Linked DNA regions of Lonchura striata. Each later gene encodes a partner of the first gene's protein in a complex. Links are inferred from orthologs where the notes say so. Each region holds a gene or a part of one and is shown on either strand. Other genes may lie near its edges.

Region 1 (7,579 bases):
TGCAGATCCTTGGGGAACAGGGTGACTCGGCGGGCGTGCAGCGAGCATAGGTACGCGTCTTCCAGCATCCGCACGATGAAGGCCTCTGCCGCCTGTGTCCTAAAAGGTGAGGGGGTGTCCCCAAAGCCCCCCAGCAAGCTCCAACCCCCACAGCTCTTCCCCCAGGCAGAGAATGCCCCCCCCAAAACACACACCCAGGGGGCAGGGTTCCTCCAAACCCACCCACAGGTAACTGGGGGGACTGAAACACCCAGTGCCTGTAAATGTGTGCGGGGACACCATCACCCAGTGACCCATCCCCAGTCCCCAACAGACCTCAGGAATAAGAGAACACCCCCACCCTCTCAACATCCATGGAACCCTGTCCAAGAACCCATAGACCCCCCCCCAGCCAATGGAGATTCTCCTAGACTCCCCCTCAGCTCCCACCACACATACCCAACAAACCTCTCAGCCTCATCCAAGCACCAAAAGAGACCTTCCTGGACCTCCCAGCCCCCCAGAGACACCCCCAGCACCCACACACCCCCCTGCAGCAGCCACAGAACCCCCCATCCCCCATGTCCCTTCTCAGCACCCATGAGATCCCCCTCAGCCCCCTCCCCAACCCCTAGTTCCCTGGATACCCCAGGAGGACCCATAGGACACCTCCAGCCCCTCTGTGAACCCCCTCCACCACTCCAACCCCTACCTCCTGCAGCGCCAGCAGGGCCATGCGCTGCCAGCGGTAATCCACCCCGCGGGTGAAGAGTAGGCAGATCTCCCGCACCTGCGGCAGAGAGGGCACGGGGAGGGGGCCACATGGTGGCATCAGGGTCACAGGGAGAGAGGGGACATTGGGACAACATGGATGGAATATGGGGGCATTGGGGACATCCCAGGCTGGGGCCACCACCATGGCGACACCCTGGAGACATGGAGACGCTGCCCTGGAGACATCCCAGGGACCTGGGGACACCCTTGTTATCACCCTGGAGACACTTTGGGGACACTCCAGGTACAGGAACACAGGGGACAGGAACCCCTGAGGATACACTGGGGAGTGGGGATGTGGGAACACCATGATAGGGACACCCTGCAGAGATCCCAGGTGGGAGGCAGGGGGGAAGCACCACTCTAGGAACATCTTGGGAACACCCTCAGCCATGGGAACATGTGGACACTCCCCTGGAGACACCCTGATCGGACAGAAGGGACAGTGCCAGCACGGTGGGAGGGGCACAGGGAGCACTCAATCCATGAAGGTGGCAGGTCACAAAAATGTCAGGAACCACAGAAGGATATTGGGGGATATGCAAGGATGTTGGGGGAGGACAGGCCCACTATGTCATGAGGACGGGGAGGACAAGGACATGGGGAGGGCTGGAACAGGGTTGAGTGGGGGCCCTGGGGAAAGAGGGTGGTCCTAAGGAGTCCTGGGGGTGATCTGGGGTTCTGGGGGGGGTAACTTGGTTGGTCTGTACGGGGTTGCAGGGTCCCAATGGGTTTTAGGGAGGGGGTCAAGGGCAGGTTGGAGGGTTCCAGGCTGGATTTCAGGGGGCCTAGGGTGGATTTGGGGTTGGATTTTAAGGGGTCCAGTGGATTGTTTGAAGAGTCCCAGTGGGTATTTGGGAGAATCCTGTGGAGAGCTGAAGGGTCCCAGAGTGGATTTAAAGGCTCTGGGGGAGGTTGCAGGGTCTGAAAGTGTTGATCTGGGATGGATTTCGGCATCCCAGAAGAGGGGATCCAGAGTGGTTTGGAAGATACCAGACAATGTTGGCGGTTCTAGGTGAAATTGGGGGTGGCCTGGAGGGGTTTGGGGGTCCTAAAGTAGATTCTATGGGTATCTGGGATGATCTGTGCAGTCCCAGGGGAGTTTGGGAGTCCATGGGGGGCACTGGGAAGGTTCCGTGGGGGAAATTGCATTGTCTGGGGATTTTACGGCAGGAGTGTTCATTTTGGGATGTGGGGGGTCCTTACCAGGCGGGCGAAGGGGCCGGGGCGCAGCAGCAGGCGGGTGCTGCTCTGGTACCTGCGGATCTCCTGCAATGCCCGCTGACCTGGGCGGAGTCCTGCAGGGGCATTGGATAGGGGTCTGTGAGGGCTTTAGCAGATCTGTTTGGCCTGGGGAGCACAGATGGAGGGCTCTGAAGGAACATGGGGGGGTATAAGAGATCCATAGGGCCTGGCAGAACACAGGGGTCTCTATGCGGGGGCCTATAGGGGCCTAGGGAACAGGGGAAAGCTGTGGAGGTTATAAGGGATCTGTAAGGTCTGGGGGGACATTGCAGGTATGAGGGATCTGTAGAGAGCTACAGTGATGGCCAATATAGGGGAATTATAGGGGACAGGGAGTATGAGGGGTTTTGAGGAACAGGGTGTAGGGGGTTGTAGCAATGTATCTGAACAACTTGGGCCTCAGTGTGCACCAGCCATACCACTTGTAACTGTTCTTACCAGAATTTTCTCAGGAATTCATAAGGTTACTAAGGCATAAACTGTGCTAAAATAAGAATGAAGAAGCTGAGAAACCACAGGATCACAAGAACTAGATAACAGAGAACTGTAGAACACCTGCATGGTAACAAATAACGGAAGCTGAGAAGTGGAGGCAGAGAATGAGGGAACAAGACAAAGGCACCAATCAATAAGTGTGATCTTAGTTGTTTGTAGAATCTATAAAAGTGTGTGCAATGTAAAGAATATATGGCTTTTGCTTGGTCATACTGGTCAGTTGTTTAGGAGTCTTGGTTGACAGGCAATAGAGAGCTATAGGGGAGAGGGAGTGTGGAGTGACTATAGTGATGGAAGCATATAGGGGTATCTACTGCACAGGCTAGGGACGGAGGACAACAATGGGGGAGTCCGTAGGAGTGCTCTGGAGGGGGGTCTAAAAGGGGCTCGATGTGGGAGGTCCACAGGGGGTGTCAGTAAGGGGCGTCCCCTGCCCCTCACTCACTGCGTGCCCGCGGCCGGGGCGATGGGGGGGCTCGGGGAGCGCCACGCCGCCGGGGGGTGGGTTTGGGGCGGGGCATGGCGTGGCCGAGTCAGCCGCAGGGTCAGGGCGAGTCCAGGCGTCCGGCGGGGCTGGCGGAAACCTGACGGCCGGGGAAGGGGGAGTCAGGGCGGACTGAGGTGTCTGGGGCCACTCCCGGGTCCCCCCAAGGCCCCCCTCCCTCTCCCTGCCAATGACATTGCGCCCGGGATCCGCCGCAGCCGCCCAGTTCCAACCTCCCGCCGCCCAGTTCCAGCCTCCCGCCGCCCAGTTCCAACCTCCCGCCGCCCAGTTCCAGCCTCCCGCCGCCCAGTTCCAACCTCCCGCCGCCCATTCCAACCTCCCGCCGCCGCCGCCGCCCCGCTCGAGCCTCCCGCGGCAGCCGCCCTGTTCAAATCTCGCGCCGCCGCGGCGCTGCTCGTGACGTCACTTCCCTCCGCGCGTCAATCGGGCGCGCGACCGCTCTGCGCCGCCGGCCTCCGCGACTCGATGGTGCCGCAGCTGCTGGGGTCATTAGCATAAATTTGCATGACCCCGGCCCGGGCACCCCACGCCTCGGTGCTCCCAGGGTAATCTCTGTTACCGTCCCAGTGTGATCTCCGTCACTCCTAGTGTGGCTCCCGGTCATCTGCGTAGCTCCAGTTACTCCCAGAAGAATCCCAGTACGATTGCAGTCCCCTGCAATATGATTCTAGTGCTTTCCAGTCACTCCCAGTGTGAGTCCAGTATGATCACAACTGTGAAAAACGCCAATCACTTGGTTTTTAAAATTTTAAAAGTTTAATAATAATAAAATTATTACAAATATAGTAATACAATTAGTGTAATAAAATTTAGAGTTAGGACAATTACAAGACAATAAAAAGCAAAGAATTATGGATGTGTCCGGATGTTCTTGGACACTAAGTCACAAAAAGCATGCCTTGTGAACAAAGGAATAACTGTAAAAGCATAACCTGTTGCATATTCATATATCTCATACATGATGCATAAATTCCTTGCAAATTAAGAACTTTTCTGGGTTTTGTCAGCTTCTTCCCCTTAATCCTGCTGGTTCCATAAAGATGGAGAGAAGGAGGAAGAATGTCTTTTCTGACAAGGAGACAGTAACTCTTTATGGGCCCCAAGTCACTGTCATCTCTGTGCGAAGAGTTTCTTGATTATCTCATCTCCTGCTTGAGCTAGTAAAAAAATCCTACACCTCAGAGTTTCTATTTTAACATTATGTTGTAACCTAAAACTACCTTTAACGCACTACTTAAGAGAACTAATACAGCATAACTTTCTAACATTACACATATAATATTCATTGGAACATTTGCAAAAAGCCAATCATAAAATCACAACAACTACTCCCAGTATGATCCCTGTCACACCCCCAATGGTCCCAGTCAATTTATGTCCATACTAGAATGATCCCACTATGATCCCAGTTACTCCCAGTATGATCCTGGTTGCCTCCAGTGGGGTTCCAGTCACTCCCAGTATGAACCCAGCATGGTCCCAAGCCGTCCCCTCCTGTATGATCCTAGTTGCCCCAGTTCTGGTCCCAGTACCCCCAGCATGATTCCGGCATCTTCCATTTGCTCCCAGTGTATTTTCAGTTGGCTCCCAACATGGTCCCAGTAGCTTCCTGTGCCTCCCAGTACCCAGTGGGGGTCAGTCAAGGATTACAACTGTTCATGAAACCCATTGGGAGAAGCAGATTGGGGCATTAGTGAACCCATGGTGGCCCAGGTGGGCTTTGGGGTCTCTTGAGGGTATTGCAAGACCTCCCAGTTTACCCAGAGTTTTCCCAGTGAGCCACCACACTCCTCATTTGACCCCATCAAGCCTCCCAGTTGCCCCTAGTTGTCCACCCGGGCCAGTGTTGAACAGGACCAGCCCCAGCACTGAGCCCTAAGGAACCCCAGCAGTGCCCAGCCCCAGCTGGCTGGGCCCCATTCCCACCCCTCCTTGGCCACCAGCCAGGTGTTCCCAGCGAGAGGCACCTGTCTCAGCTGTGACCTTCAGGTGTTCCAGGGGACGCAGGGAGATGGAGGCAGTGCCAAAGGCTTTGCTGAGCTTCAGGCAGACACACCCACACATGTCCAACACCCACTGGGGCCACCTGGGCATAGCAGGAGATCAGGTGAGTTAGGCAATACCTGCCTTTCCCAAGCCCTGGCTGTTCCCAATGCCTGTTTCATGTCTGTGCCATTTGTTCCCTCAGGGAATCTGTTCCAGGGATGTTCCAACAACAAGGCCTGAAGTTTGCTGGATCCTTCTGGCCCTGGTCTCAGTGGCTCCCAGTCACCTTCAGTATGGTACCGGTCATTCCCTGTATGATCCTTGTCACTCCCACTATGATAATAGTATGATCCCAGTGTGGTCCCAATTGCTCCTATTTACCTCCAGAATGAATCCCCTTTCTCACTGTCACTCTCCAGCATTTGTTCCCTGTATGTTCCTAGTTAGCCCAGTTATGATCCCCGCTGCTCCCAGCATGGTCCCAGTCGCTCCTAGTGCCTCCCTGTGGCCAGTGGGTGTCAGTTGAGGGTTGCAGCTGTCCATAAAATCCATCTGGGGAAAAAAGGACACTCAAGTGATGCGGGGGGATGTTGTGGTTTGACACAGAATGGAATTTTTACGAAAGGAAGAGGGTCAAGCCAGTCAGTGATTGGGGTTGGATATTGGCATTTGGACTGCCAATTGAAGGCTGGACATGCCTATGAGGACACAAAATAGTTAAAAGAAGAATTCCCAAGAGAACTTGCTTTTTTTTGTTCCGGTCAGAGTGCAGTGCAGGACTCTCCCCTGCCCAGCCAGGTGTCTGGGTGGGGGAGAGGAAGTCCTGTAGCCTGACTTAGGTAAGGCCGAAGGATGGAGGGACTGGAAACGGGCGGGCCCCCTTCAGATGGAAGGGTGGAGGAAAATCTGGGATGTCTGCGTTCCCCCCAGAGTCTCTCTGGAGAGAGAGAGAAAGAGACAGAGACGGCGTCAGTCAGCAGTATACCGCGGGGAAGGAGAAGAGCTGGGGGTCGAAGGAAGGTGCCCAGCCATGGGAGCTGGAGATCTGGGCAGAGAGCCAGGTGTCTGGGGAATCTGAGACTTTTAACCCTTCCTTGAGAAATGAAGCTTTGTGAAATATTACTCCTCCTTGATTTGAAAGAGAAGAAGCGAGACAGTCTGGGACCCAAGATGTTAGGAGAAATTCTAGGTGGGAGGAGATGATGGAGTGGCTTTTGGCTGGACTTTTTCTTGTTAACCATAGACTGAACCAATTGTCTTCTCCAAGAGAGACTGTATTTTAGGGGGATGTCTGGTGAACCAAGAGACTTGTTTCAGTGACTACCAACACTGGAGTGGAGTGAACAGAGAAGAGTTGAGGAGGGTGTGGTGATGCCCTCTGTCTTCAGAAAGAAGATGATCTCTGTTCTTGAGACCCTCGGCCCCAGGGGAGAAAGAAAATGGGGGGGACTGTGGTCCCAACAATGAGAAACTGAACTGTTGTTTTTCTTTGGTACTTGGCAAAGCATCCTTGAAAAGAAAACCCTACCCTATGAGCAGTCTGTCCATCCATGTACGGTGGTGAGGGTGCTGTGCATGGAACGGAGTTGTCACCGTGGCAATTTTTTTCACCGGGCGGTGCCATGTGTGACATGGAAACACAAGAAGTAGCAGTTGTGTTTCTTGGGGGGCGTCTATGGCACAGGAGAGACTCCTCTGTCCCTCGGTGGACTGAGTATTGATTATCGGAAGGGTGGGAACCTGACTGGGGGTCCAAGTTGTGTCTCACTGTGGTTGGTTGGAATTGGGGGAGGGAGGAGGAATGTTTTTGGAAGGTTTTCATTTTTTTTTAAATTTAGTTTTTTTCTTTCTTTTTCCTTTTATAGTAGTAATAGTTTAATGAAGTTTCTCCTTTGTTATTAAGCTTGGGCCTGGTCTGCTCTGTTCCTGATCGTATCTCACAGCAAATCATTTGGGGGTTGTATTTTCATGGGGGCGCTGGCAATGTGCCAGTGTCAAACCATGACAGGGGATATGGAAAGACATGAAGGCACTGTCCTGCTGTGACCAAAACTGCAGGAAAAACAAAAACTGTCCAACAACATTTCTAGTTTAAGAGAATTAAGGCATTACTTTATTCTGGCCAGGATGTTGCTCTGGCCAGAATGTGCAACAGAGATAATTTCATCCACACATTGCCTGTGTTGTGCAGAGAAAACTATTCCATCACACATGGTTCTTTACTAGATTTTTCACATACTTACACAGTCAAAACCCAGAAAAATTAACTGGTTCAACGTTCATTGGCCACAAGTTACACAGTTCTTTGTATCTGGTTTCCTATTGGTTATTGATCCCTTTGCCTTCAGCGCTCATTAGGTTGTCATTCTTCATTCTCTTATTGATCTTTTCTCAGACCAAATGTCTCTGACACACCATTAAGGATGTTTGGATGCAGAAGGTCACTCCTTTCTTGAGCATCCTCTGGCAGGTCCCAGTCCATTGAGATGTCAAGCTCGTCAGGCCTTGCCCGGGGAACAGAGTCTCTTGAAAAGAAACTTCCATTCCCTTCCCCCTGGGCAAAGACCCCTGACTAAAGTTAGTTAAAATTTTAGG
Region 2 (7,857 bases), on another chromosome or scaffold:
TACATACTTTTACAGGTGCTCATACAGAACTAAATGCTGCAGAATTTAACTTGTACCCACATGAACCTGTATCCAGTGCTACACTATGACACTGACAGAGCTTACACTTTGTCTTGATTCTGAAGTCCTCTTCTCATCTTTCAAAACAAAGCTTGAGCAATTTGGAGAGTTTGTTGTAAGATCACTGCTACAACCTATGAAGAAAAAAAAAACAGTAAATATGGGAATCTTGGAATTGTCCAGGTTTTATTTATTTTAACAAGTTCTAAGGCTCACTAAGATCATGTAAATTCAAACAAGAAAGTAATCAGCTACTTGAGAAAGAGATTATAAGAGAGCTAAGATACAGTTTTAAAAAGCTGAGAAGGGGCTGTTCTTAAAAATCCTGAGAAATACTATTTTTTTTTCCATTTTATCCCTATTTTTTATTTCTATGTACTTACCACTAAATAACACAAGGAAGAAAACAATTTTTTCTTTTAGCAGCAAATCAAGCAAAACACCAAATAAGAGCTTACTTTCAAAACAATCCTGTATGACCTTCAACACGTTTTGACCTGGCTGTAGATCAATCTTATTTCTAGAAAGAAGAGGGAAAAATATTTTCAATCAAAAATGCTAAATGCTTTTATCCCAAATACTAAAGTAGCAAAGCTTTACTTCTAAATATTTTAGGTTATTACTTCTTCTAGTTCAAATTTTAATATATTTTTACCTACAATTTCTATGTATACATATCTGCAAAGAAATTTGTCAAAGCAGGAATTCCAGGAAAAAAAGCCTCACTGCCACAGATTATAATAAGAACGAAGAATTCTCTCTACATTAAAGAAAACACGCAACTACTGCAACAGCCCTGAGGTAAATGAGCTTTAGGCTGACTAGAGCCTCACTTAAGTAATTTTTTATTTTTTTTTTTAATCATATCTGGAGCTATGTTGCCTGCACAGTGGTGCAGTTGCAGCAGACCTAGAACCAAGCCTGAGGTATCGTATCCATAAGCAAGTGAGCAGCTCAGCTGGTTGGATTATTATTTCAGACCAACAAAATGAAAAGGGCAGAAGTGAGTGATTCACCAGCCAGTGTTGATCAAAACCAAAATAACACACCTATAATGATCATGATATACCTTTAAAAACAGCAAAATGTATACATTTGGTAAGCTCATGAGATGCATGTCCAGAAATTGATTTCAGCAACAAAGTCTTCAGAGACACATGTAAAGAACATCACAGTACTGCAAATCCTCAAACTCATCCCTAACATTTAGCAGCAAGGTCCAAATATGCTGGAACTCTGCCTGGGCTTAATTTCTCTACTCCTTGAAAGGCTACACGTTTGCACAGATAACTGCTTCCCTACTCAGGCAGCCCAGTCAGGGGTCCTACACAGGTGTACAGCTACACCACAATCTGCTGCCTCAGCGAAGAAAAACCTTGGAGCCTTGTGCCCCCACAGAGCTTGCTCCTCTTACCATTAAGAAATACAAGAAATTTGGGAAACATCATACGATCAATTTAATAAGGTACACCAAGTAGTTTTGACATTTAGCTCATAGATAAAGTCAAGGTAAGTTTTCCAGAATCTAAGAATAGGTTGTTTAAAATGCAAATTACCCTCCTCCATGGCAGAACCTTGCTCTGTAGTCTTTTTTTAAACGATTCTGTGAAGAAATAAGAATCCATTTTTAATAAGCATGATAGCACTTGAAAAATAAATAAGCAGATCTCAAGGATTCTAGAGACATTTTGAAGTAGTAGGAGAGTGGGAGTTATTGCAGCACTGTTTTTCTTAGAATGCCACAGTGCCTCTTCATACACTTGAAACCCAAATATAAAACCAGTAACTCAAACAGCAGACAGGACTCCCGCCATTTACCACAATTAAAGCAGTAATAATTCAAGCAGCAACACATTCTCTGTATAATCAAATAAAGCCACTAACCTGGGAACCAGCAATGGTTGTAGAGAATAAAATAGGAATAAAGGGCAAGAAAAATTCAACAGCAAAGCAGAGTGTAGTTCTTCACAAATGTGTCACAAAAATACCTTAAAAAATGTAAATGTTTAGCCGAAAAACAACTATAACCTCTTCCTGATTCGTGTAAATTTAGAGTATATACAACGTGGAGTAATGCAATTATCTAATAATTTGGCACGTTTTCCTGAAGTTTGCCATACTGACAGTACTTGGCACTTCACTGTAATTCCCCGTTAGATATTACTCCTGGTATCAAAAATAATCAAACTCTATATGGATTGATTTCACTGCAATTTTTCAACATCGGTTTAAAGTGGCAGAAGGAAACAGGTGACAGGGAAAACAACTGACCAAAAGACACCACTTCAGAAACTATACAGAAGCACACTCCGCAGTCAACCCAGCACTCGAGCATAAACGTAAACCCCCTTCCCTTCGCAGCAGAGCGAGCAAATGACCTTGCTCACTAAAGAAATATAATATTCCTGTCAAGGGCCTGAAAGAGCCTTTAACAGTTCATTTATTACTGTGTTCGTGTCGCGCTACACATGAAGAATTTTAAAACTTAAGCGATTCTAGGGTGACGGCACAAGTGTCCTGCTGTTGATGCGCTCGCCGTCCCGCGGCAGTCGTCTCTCCAGAGGCAGCCCGGGAGGAACGGGGTCTGGCACGGACACGGGTGCGCTGAGGGCAGCGGGGCTCCCGACGGAGCAGCCAGCATGCCTGTGCCAACCGCCCGGATCCGGAGCGAGCGCGGGCCGCCAGCTCGAGCCTCGCTCTCCTCAGGGGGAAGACCCGCCCTGCCCCTCCCCTCAGGAGCGAGCCGAGCGCCGCGCCTCCGCGCTACTGCCGAGCTCGGCCGCCGCTCACAACAAACCAGACAGACAGACACAGAGACACAAGCAGACAGACGCAGACACAGAGAGGCAGACTGACGGACAGACAGAGCGGCCGCTCCCGCCCTCTCTCACCAAAGCCTGCGCCATACCAGACCGGGGCCGGAGCGCGCTCCCCGCGCCGCCTTCGAACCTCGCGCACCCTTCCCGCCGGGCAGGCGCGCGCGCGCACGGCCGGCGGCATCCCGGCCACGCCTCCGCGGCCCCGTCCCATTGGTCGGCAGCCGCCGCGCGCCAAGCAGGGAAGGTGATTTAGGCGCGCGCGGTTGTCGCGCCTGCGCACAAGCAGATGCTGCGCCCGTAGCCCCGCCCCCCCCCAACCTCCTGGCCGCCTTTCTCCGAGGGGACGGGCGGGCGATGCTTCCCGTTCTTTTACTTCGCCGGTGGGAAACGCTCAAAATCCTCGGGTTTCCAAACGCTACAAAGCATTCCTTGTCACCACGGCGCGTTGCATTTTTTTCTTTTTACTTGTGGTATAGCTAACAAAAGCTTAAATCCATCTGATCCAGCAGTCTTGGTAACAGTATTGAGACCCTCACACAGAATCCTCACTACTCCTAACATTAAAGAAACATGATGACTAATCAGAGAACAGTTGATCTGGCTGCTTAATACCGGGTGCGGGGTTTGCAATTTTTTCTTCCCCCCCCTCCCCCCTTCCCGCGCGTTCCCTTATCACACCTCCCGCCTTTCCCTTCGCCACGCGGTCGGTCCCTGCCCCCCGCCGCTCCCCTCGCTGTCCCCGGGGTTTCCCTGCCCCTGTCCCCTGCCTGCCGTCCCATTGGCCGCGGCTCAGGTTCCCCGCCCCGGCACGGGGTGTAACCGGCGCCGGGCCGGTGCGCGCGGTCTCGGGAACACGTGTCTGCACCCGAGGCCCGTGCCGCCATTTCGTGTGCCCGCGCTGGAACTGAGCCTCGCAGAGCCTCCCGCCGGCGCCCGCCCGGAGCCGGTCTCGCACAGCAGCAACCGGGCATGCACAAATTAATTAACTTTATCTATTAACAGTGATAGAAATTTAGAGAAAGCTGGTGTACATATGAGCAAACTTCAAGAAGGCATTTGAGTGAGGAGCTGAATTACTGATATAAAACTTAATTCCTGCAAATCAACTGCTCTCTCAAAGAATAACATTCTGAAAGAAAGCTTTTTGAAGTGCTCTGTGGAAAGACAGTTCTTCATTGTTGCAGGAAGACAGCAAGCTTCAGCTGCTCCACTGGAATTGTGCATCAAACAGTCCTAGACTAATACAAGTTTTCACTGCCACAAAAGAAAAAAAAAAGAAAAAAAAAAAAAACAAAAAAAACAAAAAAAAAAACCTAAACTAACTAAATAAATAAATAAAGCAGTTCTCAGGTTCTAGGTAATACTACAAGCCTCTAGTGTGGTAACACTGACAACATTGAAGATTTGAAGATTGGCAACCCAACATTCGCTTGCCCAGGGCCTTTTTAGTGTGATCGTGCTGGGCACCTGCAGAGATTTTTGATAAAAAGCAGGAGCAGATTGAGAAACGGGCTCTATCAAACACAAATTCACACTGAATCAGTATACTCCACAATCTTCCATATAAATACCTTCACTCTCCATATCAGCAATTCAAAAAGGTTTAAAGCAAGAATAACAGGTTTAATGAGCCACTTGACATGCTGAGTTCTTCTACAGAAAGTCCTCTTGAAGTTACTAGTTCTGAGATTTTACCTAGATTAATTTACATCCAAAAATTTTAAAGGTGTGCTAATAAATATCTAGAGCCATTGTGAATTTTTACTTTTTCCATAATCAACTTTTTAACTAAGCAGAACCTATCCACAGAGCATCCATCCATCCATGACACACACAATAAGAGCAGCATAAAGATACAGCCATATCTGCAATTTCCGGCTGTGATCCCTGCCAGCCTTGACCTGGACTTTTTACAAGGCTCTCAAAGGTGTACATGTTGTGATTAGTAAAAGCCATTGCATTAATTATATCTGACAGTTTACTTTAAACCCTGAGGACAGTTATATGGCATTCTAGAACAGTACTAAGACTTTACTATTTTTAAATGCTGCTTATTTCAAAAGCATAAGCATGACATTAACACCACACTAACGTAAGAGAATATACTTACTCAAAGTTTCATTTGTTTCCCAGCCTCCAGCTGTGAGAGGTGACAGTTTTTCTTGTTGACCTAAACCTTTATGTGATCCTTAGCGCTAATTAGTGACATCATTACATTAAATGTGAAGACATCCCTAAAGCTTAATAAACTATGATTGAGGATAAACAGCTAAGCTGTTAATAGCTTTTGCAACAGCTGCAGGATATAATGTTAAATAACAATCTCTAAAGCTGAAACATATGAGAGGGTATTTCAGTTTGTAAGTTTTTCTTTTAATTTTGCCTTGCTCTACTGTGATGGGGAGAAAAAAAGAACTACAACCTCAAGTACTCAGTGCTTAAATGACTTAAATGATTATGTTTTTGTAACACACCTCTGCCTCACCACAGAAGCAAAACTAGTCCATAATGATTTCCAATTAAGCAGAAATTTTATAATTACACATCCCAATAACTAACCAGTGAGGGTAAAGACCTCACGGTTCAGTGCAGCTCAGACTTGTTCTGAGGACAGGTATACAGCACAACAATTTGCTATAGGGAAATAGTACCAAAAGGAACAGCTGAGGTAAGTTTGCTTTGACAAACATCCATTTGTCTTTTTTCTGCCTTAAACGTCATCAAGTGCTACAGTGATTTTAATTTGGTGAGGGCAGAAAGGCTCAACCACATTTTCTCTTTGTTGAAGACCAAGTTTTATTGTTGAAAGTGCTAATTTGGCTCTCCAATAGGCTTTCACTTTCCCCATACTGCAGTATTCCACAAAGAACAGTCTTAGTGCAGATAATCAAAAATTCCAGCTCTCTGGACTTCAGGGTGTTTTGACAATTCACACCCCCTCCCTACATCTCCATGTTGAGACTGACACAAGATAGCTGTGCTGACCACAGCACCACTAAGCAGCCACACAAGAAAGCAGTTCCTCTGCTTTTGAGTGGGAGTTTAAGCCGTTCAGATGGATCTTATGTGTAGATGGCAAGAATGAAATTCTTGTTTGAGAATGGTGTAACATGTGAAATGAATTTGAGATGTTCTTAGAACACCAGGAGTATCATAAAATGGTGCTTTTCCTATTTTTTGCACTCTTCCCTAAGAAAATGCAAATTACCTAATTTGCACATGGGGACCATTTCTTAGGTTCACCATTCTTCTTGCTTTCCTCAGAACAAATCTTGCCTTTAAGCTAAGGACTGTACTGGACATTCCATCTCATGGAGTGACCAATCCTCCTTTGAGCAAACAGGCTTGAAGAATACAAGAGCAGAAGAAACAAATCCAGTTTGTCTTCAGTGCAAAGCCACTGATTTTCACCATTTAATTAAGGCTTCACCAAAAAGAAATATAGAGTACCATCTTTAATAGCTAAAAATTAGCACACTCCTTTCAGAACAAATGGTCCATGAGTGACTTTTGTGTCTCTACCATCAATTGTCTTCCTGAACAAAGTAGTATCTCACTGGTGGCCCAGGCAAGTCTTCCTCTCCATCAGTCTCTGGAGCAAATGATACTGTCAAATCCACATACTTCTTATCAGCTGATGGTTTCACAAGCTTTTGCATCCTATAAAGAAATTAAGAGCAGTTCATAAATGTACCAAGAGGATTGACAATGGGAACTCAGGGCCAGACCCAGAAGAATTTCACTGCCAGCAATATGTACTAGCCCAGCATACTACAGACCAAATTAAAACAGAGAATAAACCACCTCTGAATTACACACAAAAGCTGTTCCTCCACCTGAGCTTCAGCAAACAGTATTCCATTTTCCTGACAGACACAGCCCATTAAAGTGCCATAGTAGTAAAAAATCCTGATATTCACAAGAAGGCAGCTTCATACCATGGCTTTGACTTCATTACATACCCCACTCATTCAAAAATATTTATACAGCTGTAAGAGAAAACATATAAGCAACATTTTTAGAGATACGCTGTAAATTCTCATTGTAGCAACTCTACAACTTAGCAGCTCTTCTCTCCCCAGGAGTTTGAAGTAGCTTACTCATACATCTCTCCCTTATAGCTACTGGCAGGCCTTCAAAACAGTACTGAGCAGTGCATCCACTTGCTCCAGCAAAGCCTGTGAACACTACCACACACTTCACAGGAGCTGTAAGGAACAGATTTTGAGCTAAAGTAGTTCAACCCACAGGTGTAAGGCAGGACTAAACTGGGTGAGATCTGGCTGTTATTTTGCAAAGGCCTTCAGTCAAAACTAATGCCCTGCCTTCACATCCTGCCAAACTGCCAGGGTGAAACACCTCAATTTCCTCTCTGTAAGCAGCATAGCAAAGCCTTTGTAATTGTCATCATTCTTAAAAGGGCTAAAGTGATGTAGAATCTCAAGCAATTACTATAATTGAACAGACTTCCAGAAATCTTAAACTGCAAGCAATACATTATTCCTTCAGAGCTAAATTGCTAAATACTAGCATTAGTTTTAAGCCAGTTTCAAAAGGTCCTAGTAGTCTTGTTCTGCTTGAACCATGGTACATTCTTTCCCCCCAAAGAATTACTGCCAGACTTCTTTAGCTTTCTCATTCTGGTATTCAACAGTTAAAGAAGCATTTTGCAAGTCTCCTTTCCTCATCACAGAAGTTAATTCACCTTCTCTTTTTTATTTTCTTTTTTTTCTGTTTGTTTTACAAAAAGTAATAAATTATCTTTTTTTCTTTCAAATGTGTTTTTTCTTTCCAAAGTATTAATGGCTAGAAACCACTTTGAGAGAAAATACTGCTGTCAGACATATGTCCATTTGATACAAGCAATGAACATAATTTGTGTGTGCACTTGCATCCCTAAATCCACTTTCCAGTTATACTTACGTCAACTTTAATCTTTTGATATGGCCTGGCATCACAGGAACATAGAGCATTTTGA
Region 3 (7,467 bases), on another chromosome or scaffold:
ACGGGAGAGACCTTCTCCTGCTGCCCTCATCTCATGGCAAAGGTGTAGACGTGGTAGATCTCATCAGGGAAGTTCTCCTGGCGCTCCTCTGCCAAGAGGTGCAGCCCAGCTCTGCGGATGATCTTATGGACCACGTCCAGGTCCCGGCAGACGCTGCTGTCCACATCGTCCATGATCACCCCCTCCTGAGCCATGTTGTCCTTGATGACCACGATGCCGTTGGGCCGCAGGCCGGCACGGCAGCGCTTCAGGAAGTCGGAGAGGTGGTTGTCAGTGAGATGTCCTGGAGGGGCAGAGCAGGGGTTAGAGGGCAGGGTTGACCAAGGGGAGGAAACACAGAAGCTGCATTTGGGATCCCTCCAGATCCAAATGGCCAAATACTTGAGACGTCTGCAGGGACAGCTTTAGCTTGGGAGTGTCCAGCTTGTGTCTCACTACTCAACTCCATCCAACCCACATCTCTGCTCTGGCCTCTGAGGGCTTGGGGGGAAAAGTACAGGGCCCCTCCATGGGATGGGGGACGACTGCCCGCCCCAGGCCCCCACCCCTGCTGTGATCCTCATCCTCCAGGCAGACCTCAAGCCGCTCTCCCCAGTGCACAGGGTACCTGCCCCTCAGGGGAACAGGACAGGCTGGAAAGACCCCACAAGCGGCGACCCTCACCGATGACCCACTGGATCCAGATGACATCATAGGAGTTTGGCTCAGGGCTGAAGTCCTGGAGGCCGCAGCAGAAGTAGTTGCGCACTCGCCTGCCCTCCTCTCCCAGGTAGCTCTTGGCCTTGGTGAGGAAGTCCTCTGTCACATCCACCATGTCCACTGTCTTGAAGAGGGGCAGCAGCAGCCGCTTGGTGATCCGGCCAATGCCAGCCCCGCAGTCCAGAGCACGGGTTGTCCCCGTCCGGTTGGGGCCATCCTGCAACAACCACCGTGAGGGGTGAATCCCACAGAGGAGAAACGGCACAACCACACAGAGGATCCCATGGAGCAATTCAGAGGGAAGAGCCCAGCTCCACGCTGGGAGTAGGGTGGGGTTTTATGAGCACGACAAACTGTGCCACCTACCCGCAGAAACCTCTGCAGGAACTTCCTGGAGCTGTTGATGTCGATGCTGGAGATGTGGCCGTAGCCCCCCAGCATGCCATCCACCGTGGCGGGCACATCCTTCCAGTACTTCTCTGCCTTGGAGTAAAACTCAAACTCGTTCTCCACCACCTCGCTGGTCATGCTGGCCAAGGGCACGTGCCCGCACAGGACTCGCTGCTCCCCTGGGGTGGGAGAACCCCAAACCAGCCAGGAATGAGTCAGCTCTGCCAGTACCCCACACCTTTATCACCTTTATCACCCCTTCCCCCTCCCCAGGGCTACTGCAAACTACAAAAACCTTCAGCTGAGAGCAAGAAGGAACAAAGATCTAAATCCTGGTATTTTCTGGAGACCAAGAAGCCCAAAACCACTCCCTGGGCAGATGCCTCAGCCAGAACAGCCATGGCAGAGCCTTGCTCAGCAATACACGTAATTATACAATTATATTTTAAGGCTGACCCACCCTTTTCACCTATTCTGCCTCTCCTTTCCCTGCCTTAACATTGTACAGATTCCAGGTTTATGTGTGGCGACAACCCCATCAGTCACCTCCAATTACATCTCGAGTTGCTAAAAGTTATCCTGAGCACCTACCTGAGGATTGTAAATCTCAGCCGTGACCATAAGTTAGATATTTGCAATATAATAAAGTCAAGGTATAATCAGCAATACAGGCTATAAATCCCCCCCAGGCATCTCATAATTCAAACCACTATGGATTTGATTAACTGCGCTGGGGATTAGAAACTAGATTTAAGGTGGCCAAAGGGTAAATTCAAGGACTTCAAACACCTTTACAAATAAAGAAATATATAGAGTTTGTGGCTTGAATTTGCTGGCAAATACCCTATTAGACACAAAACCTTTTCTATGGCAGCTTAGACAGGTTTGGTGGCCCCACGTGGCCTCGAACAGCCTAGGGATAGGAAAGGGGGACATGGCATCTCAACTTACAGGTCACCGGTGGAAATCCAGTTTGGCTCAGTGGTGCCAGGAGCCAGTCTACACTGTGATCTAGGAGCAGAGAAGATTGGATTTAAGTGCCCAGTCACCCTTCTAGTCCTGTAAGTCTGACCATGGCCCCAGGAAACCACAGGTAAGAGACAGCCCAGCCCCACAGACACACTCCCAGCAGGCTGGGGGACAGGAGCTGCTGCTGCCCCTTAGCTCAGAGGCAGAGCCATGAGTGTAGCCAGTGCATGGAGGGTTCTCTTCCAGCGCCCCTGTCTGTGCTCCAATTTGAGCAGTGCTCCTGTCCGATTTCACGGGCTGGGACCCAGGCTCACCCTCCCGGCAGTGACCCCATTCCTTGGCCTGGCTTTGGCTCGGTGAGTCCCTGGGGACTCATTCTCAGGGTGCCACAGGCTGCCAGCAGACGCAGAGAGCACCCAGCCGCAGTGCCCCGAACCTAAACCCGAACCCGAGCGTTCGTGCTGCCGCAGGAGCCGCGACACGCGGCCGGTGCCCGCGGCAGCCGGGCAGCGCAGGCCGGGGCTGCCGCGGCCGCGGGGGAAGGTCACGGCGCGGAGGGGTCAGCGCAGCGCGGGGCCCCGAGCCCGGGGCCGCTCTCGGGGGGCTCCGCAGGCCGAGGGGCTGAGGCGGTGCCGCCGCGGGGGCTCGGGGGTCCCACCCGGGCCCGGGGGTGTTACCGCAGCCGGTGCGGGGCGAGGGGGCGGCCCCGCTGCACGGCCCGACCCGGCCCCTTCGCCTCCCGCCCACGGGGGCAGCCCTACCCCGGCCCCGGCCCGGGCAGCTCCGCCGGCCGCCCTCTGCGGCGGCGGCCCGTGGAGAGGCGTGCCGGTGCTGCCCGGGGCCGCCGGTGCTGCCCGGGGGTGCCCGGGGTGCCCGGGGCCGCCGGTGCTGCCCGGGGGTGCCCGGGGTGCCCGGGGTGCCGCCGCTCCCGCCGCTGCCCCGGGCCCGGCCGCGACCCCCGGCCCCCCCCGTTACCTCCGGCGGCGGCCGCGCGCTGCGCCCCCACGGGACCGGCGGCCGCGGGGACCAACCAGGCGGCGGCGTGGCGGTGACGTCACCGTGACGTCACGAACCGGCCCTGCCCTGCTCTAACACTGCTGCCCGCGCGGGGGCGCTCCGGGCCGGGGACCGGGGTGGTCAGCGGTGGGACGGACTGGGATGGACTGGGGTGGATTGGGACGGACTGGGGTGGATTGGGACGGACTGGGATGAACTGGGACGGACTGGGATGGACTGGGACGGACTGGGATAGATTGGGATGGGCTGGAATGGACTGGGATGGGCTGGGATGGATTGGGATGGGCTGGGATGGACCGGGACGGACTGGGACGGACTGGGAATGGACTGGGATGGATTGGGAGGGACTGGGACGGACCAAGACGGACTGGGATGGATTGGGACGGACTGGGATGGACTGGGATGGATTTGAATAGGCTGGGACGGACTGGGATGGATTGGGACGGACTGGGATGGACTGGGATGGATTTGAATAGGCTGGGACGGACTGGGATGGATTGGGACAGACTGGAACAGGGGTGCAAGGACTGGGGCGGACCGGGCAGCCCCAGGGGAGCCCGCAGGTACCGCGCGGTTCTCGAGGGGCAGGATACCCCAGGAGCCCGGCCGGCTGGCACCGGGGTGACGGGACCCGGCGTCGCCAGAACAAGAAGCCGCGGGGGTGTCCGCGTCCCGGCTCCTGCTCCAGCCCCGATCCTGTCCCGCCGTTGTCCTTGTCCCGGTCCTTGTCCCGGTCCTTGTCCCGGTCCCGTCCCGTCCCCTCCCGCCGTGCCCCGTCCCGGCCGCCAGGGGGCGCTGTTGTCCCGCCGCTGCGCCGCGGGAACTTCGGCGCGTCCTGAGGGGGAGCGGGACAGAGCCCGACACCCGGTACCGGCACCGCGGTACCGACAGAGCCCGACACCCCGGTACCGACACACCGGTACCGACAGAGCCCGACACCCGGTACCGGCACCGCGGTACCGACACACCGGTACCGGCACACCGGTACCGACAGAGCCCGACACCCCGGTACCGACAGAGCCCGACACCCCGGTACCGACACCGCGGTACCGACAGAGCCCGACACCCCGGTACCGGCACCGCGGTACCGACAGAGCCCGACAGCCCGGCACCGGCACCGCGGTACCGACACACCGGTACCGACAGAGCCCGACACCCCGGCACCGACACACCGGTACCGACAGAGCCCGACACCCCGGCACCGGCACCGCGGTACCGACAGAGCCCGACACCCCGGCACCGCGGTACCGACAGAGCCCGACACCCGGTACCGGCACCGCGGTACCGACACACCGGTACCGACAGAGCCCGACACCCCGGTACCGGCACCGCGGTACCGACAGAGCCCGACACCCCGGTACCGACACACCGGTACCGACAGAGCCCGACACCCCGGTACCGGCACCGCGGTACCGACAGAGCCCGACACCCCGGTACCGGCACCGCGGTACCGGCACCCCGGTACCGACACACCGGTACCGACAGAGCCCGACACCCCGGCACCGACACACCGGTACCGGCACCGTGGTACCGACACACCGGTACCGACAGAGCCCGACACCCCGGCACCGACACACCGGTACCGGCACCGTGGTACCGACACACCGGTACCGACACACCGGCAGCGACACTGTGGTACCGACACCCCGGTACCGACACCCCGGTAATGACACACCAGCACCGACACCCGGTACCGACACCCCGGTACCGACAGAGCCCAACACCCCGGTACCAGCACCCTGGTACCGACACACCGGTACCAACAGAGCCCGACACCCCGGCACCGGCACCGTGGTACGGACACACCGGTACCGGCACACCGGCACTGACACTGCGGTACCGACACCCCGGTACCGACACCCCGGTACTGACACACCGGTACCGACAGAGCCGGCACCGAGACAGCTGGTACCGACACCCCCGGTACCGACTGACAGCCCCAGCACCGGCCCCTCGCATCCCTTCCCGTAGCGGTGCCCCCTGTGCCCGTTGCCGGCTCCGGTCCCACCGACCCGCGGGTCCCGGCTCCCCGCGCCCTCCCGTGCCAGCGCTGCCGAGCCCCGGCGGCTCCGCACGGCCGTGGCCGTGTCCCCTCCCCTCCGGGGGTCTCGGACCCCCAGCAGGACGGGGTTAACGGGACCTGGGGGTGCCCACGGCCCAAGGAAGGGGACTGCTGTGGGGACAGTGACAGTGACAGTGACAGTGACAACGCTGCCTTGGCACAGTCGTGTCTGCGGGGAATGGAGGCTGGTGTGGGTTCTCTGCTCTCTGGTATGACCTGAGTCCTTCCCTCATCTTCCCCAGAAACCGAGTTTCACAAAACCTGCAGGGACAAAACCTCCTTGCAGTCACCCAAACCTGTCAGAGGGCAGCGACCAGAGGGTCAGTCCTGCATGGGCGCAGGGGGACCAGGGCCCATTCCCAGCACCTACCTCTCTCAAAATGTCCTAATGGCTCAAACAACTCTTGCTGTCCCCAAAACAGAGCTGCTCAGCCCATGGCCATCCAAAAATCCATGGCACAACCAGGACATGGCCTCAGGGATAGAGCCCCTTGCCATCCTTCCATGGGACATATGCAGAAATGGAGTCGCCACCTTTGGGCAAGCAAACAGAGCCTGGGACAGCTTTCGGGCTCCCAGGTGCCCTGAGTCCCTGTGAAAGGACCCGAGTGTGCTGGGGACAGCAGTGACCTGAGCTGGGGGCTCAGTGCTGACACCAGGAGCATGTGTTAAGTCAACTGCAGAGCAGGGGACACAGTAAGAGCATCTCTGCACAAAAAGCACTGCTTTTTGCAGTTTGCTTTTTATATTTTAAAGAAACAAGGCTCTTTGTCACCAGGGAGGGGACACTGAGCGCTAGGTGGTGGCGCCTTGCTGCTCACAGGTAGAAGGGGTGTTTGGGAGGTGCAGGGGGGTGAGTGTCCCCATGCACGGGCACCTGAATGACCCAAACCCAGCAGTTTGCCCCTCGCCAAAGCTGCCAGCAGCCGTTGCATCGCTCCAGTTGTCACCTGTGTTTTCAAGCAGGCAATGGGCACCTGCATCCCATCCATGCCACATGTCTTCCATGGTGCCTGCAGTATTTGCTGTCTCTGCTTCCCCAACAAGAGGCACTTTTATTTCACTGAGCTGCGCTGGGACTCCTGAAGACTCTTTCCATTAAGCCCCATCCACCTCCTCCATTCTTCCCTACTGCCAAAACCCTTCATGATGGCAGGAATGGAATGGTGCTCCATCCCCTCCGGGGACTGGGGCTCTGCTTTGGCCGCTCAGGTTCCAATGAAATCTGCAGCAGTTGCCTTAGATCAGGGACAGGTCTTCTTTGCAAATGTTTCCTTTGATTTGATACTATTATTGTTATTAATTTCGTTAAGGTAGCAGAGTGTGGCTGAAAATTAAAAGGAAAACTAAACTGAGTGTCCCTGAGCTTGCCATGTTTCTGAGCCCAGCTGGGGATGAGGGTCCCAGCACTGAGGACTCCCTGTTGAGTCCCACTCTCTGCAGGTCCAGCCTTGGGGCCAGTTTGTGGAAAGCCAAATCTGTAAATAAGAGTGGCAGCAGCAGCCACAGCTCCAGCCACGCCGCAGAGCCGCCCGTGCCTTCCTGGGCTCAGCTGCCTCCCCGTGGTCACTGCTGCTGGGAAATGCTTTTCCTCTGACGGGTTTCAATCTTGTCACTCAGTAATTCCTTGTGTGACGAGACAGAAAACACCCCCAGACCCCTCTCTCCAGCCCATTTGTTTCCCTGCACGCCCTCCCTCCTGCTCCCACTCACTCGCCACCTTCCAAGGCAATCATGGTGCTGCGATTGCTCTTCAGGAATATTTTTTTTTTCCTTTTCCCCAGGTGCCTAATCACCCTTATTACCCTTTTCTGATTAATTAATTCTAATTAATTTTGCACTATCATTTTTGAGAGGAGGTGACCAGGACAGCACATGTTGTTGCAGGTGATTTGTAAGGCAGGTCCTGCAGTGCCAGCACAGCCCTTCCCTCGGTGCCGTTTAACCCGGGTCCAGGTGGGCACCTCCTGCCCCGTTTGCTGCCTTTGATGGCAATTAAAAGAGCACTGAAACTTCCCAGGCCATGGCAGGAGCCCTGAGGTGCTTTCCTGGGAACCACAGGGGATGTTCCCATCTCCTCTGCTCTGCCTCGGCAGCAGGGTTCAACCCTGGCCAAACCTGCCCCGTGTCCACGTTTGCCCAGCTCCTTCAGCCAGCTCTGCTGTGCCATGGCCAAGGCTTGGGAAGTCAGAACAAATTAGGTCAGGGCTTCTCCATGCTCTGCCAAGAGCCACCAAAGCACTCAGAGACACAGCAGAGGTCCCTTCGTCACCTCTCACCTTCCAGCCCTGGTGCCAGTCCTTCTCCAGGTACCAGCAGGGGCTTCTTCT

The links.
Region 2: CENPA (region 1) and CENPC share a complex: the UniProt entries of both Homo sapiens proteins name them as parts of the CENPA-NAC complex. The link is inferred for Lonchura striata from reciprocal best matches to the Homo sapiens genes CENPA and CENPC.
Region 3: the proteins of CENPA (region 1) and NTMT1 are in contact, whole or in part, in a crystal structure (PDB 5CVD), measured with the Homo sapiens proteins. The link is inferred for Lonchura striata from reciprocal best matches to the Homo sapiens genes CENPA and NTMT1. Residues at the interface, in NP_001800.1 of Homo sapiens: Gly2, Pro3, Arg4, Arg5, Arg6, Ser7; in NP_001273725.1 of Homo sapiens: Tyr19, Trp20, Met30, Leu31, Gly32, Tyr34, Ile37, Trp136, Asn168, Ile175, Asp177, Asp180, Asp212, Glu213, Ile214, Tyr215.

What each region holds. Positions count from the first base shown.
Region 1 is NC_134623.1:6,098,913-6,106,491, reverse strand, and holds the start of CENPA (histone H3-like centromeric protein A), read right to left. Parts: upstream 3,015-7,579; coding exon 2,939-3,014; intron 2,052-2,938; coding exon 1,960-2,051; intron 770-1,959; coding exon 692-769; intron 100-691; exon of another isoform or gene 93-99; coding exon 1-92. UniProt on the Homo sapiens protein: Histone H3-like nucleosomal protein that is specifically found in centromeric nucleosomes. Replaces conventional H3 in the nucleosome core of centromeric chromatin that serves as an assembly site for the inner kinetochore.
Region 2 is NC_134606.1:44,829,015-44,836,871, forward strand, and holds the start of CENPC (centromere protein C), read right to left. Parts: upstream 3,060-7,857; 5' UTR 2,967-3,059; coding exon 2,952-2,966; intron 1,664-2,951; coding exon 1,617-1,663; intron 581-1,616; coding exon 519-580; intron 195-518; coding exon 106-194; intron 1-105. Other genes in the region: UBA6 (ubiquitin-like modifier-activating enzyme 6), read right to left, coding at 6,404-6,539, 7,803-7,857. UniProt on the Homo sapiens protein: Component of the CENPA-NAC (nucleosome-associated) complex, a complex that plays a central role in assembly of kinetochore proteins, mitotic progression and chromosome segregation.
Region 3 is NC_134624.1:3,651,038-3,658,504, reverse strand, and holds the start of NTMT1 (N-terminal Xaa-Pro-Lys N-methyltransferase 1), read right to left. Parts: upstream 3,088-7,467; 5' UTR 3,034-3,087; intron 2,882-3,033; exon of another isoform or gene 2,820-2,881; intron 2,753-2,819; exon of another isoform or gene 2,736-2,752; intron 2,101-2,735; 5' UTR 2,041-2,100; intron 1,269-2,040; 5' UTR 1,228-1,268; coding exon 1,066-1,227; intron 917-1,065; coding exon 664-916; intron 284-663; coding exon 27-283; 3' UTR 1-26. UniProt on the Homo sapiens protein: Distributive alpha-N-methyltransferase that methylates the N-terminus of target proteins containing the N-terminal motif [Ala/Gly/Pro/Ser]-Pro-Lys when the initiator Met is cleaved.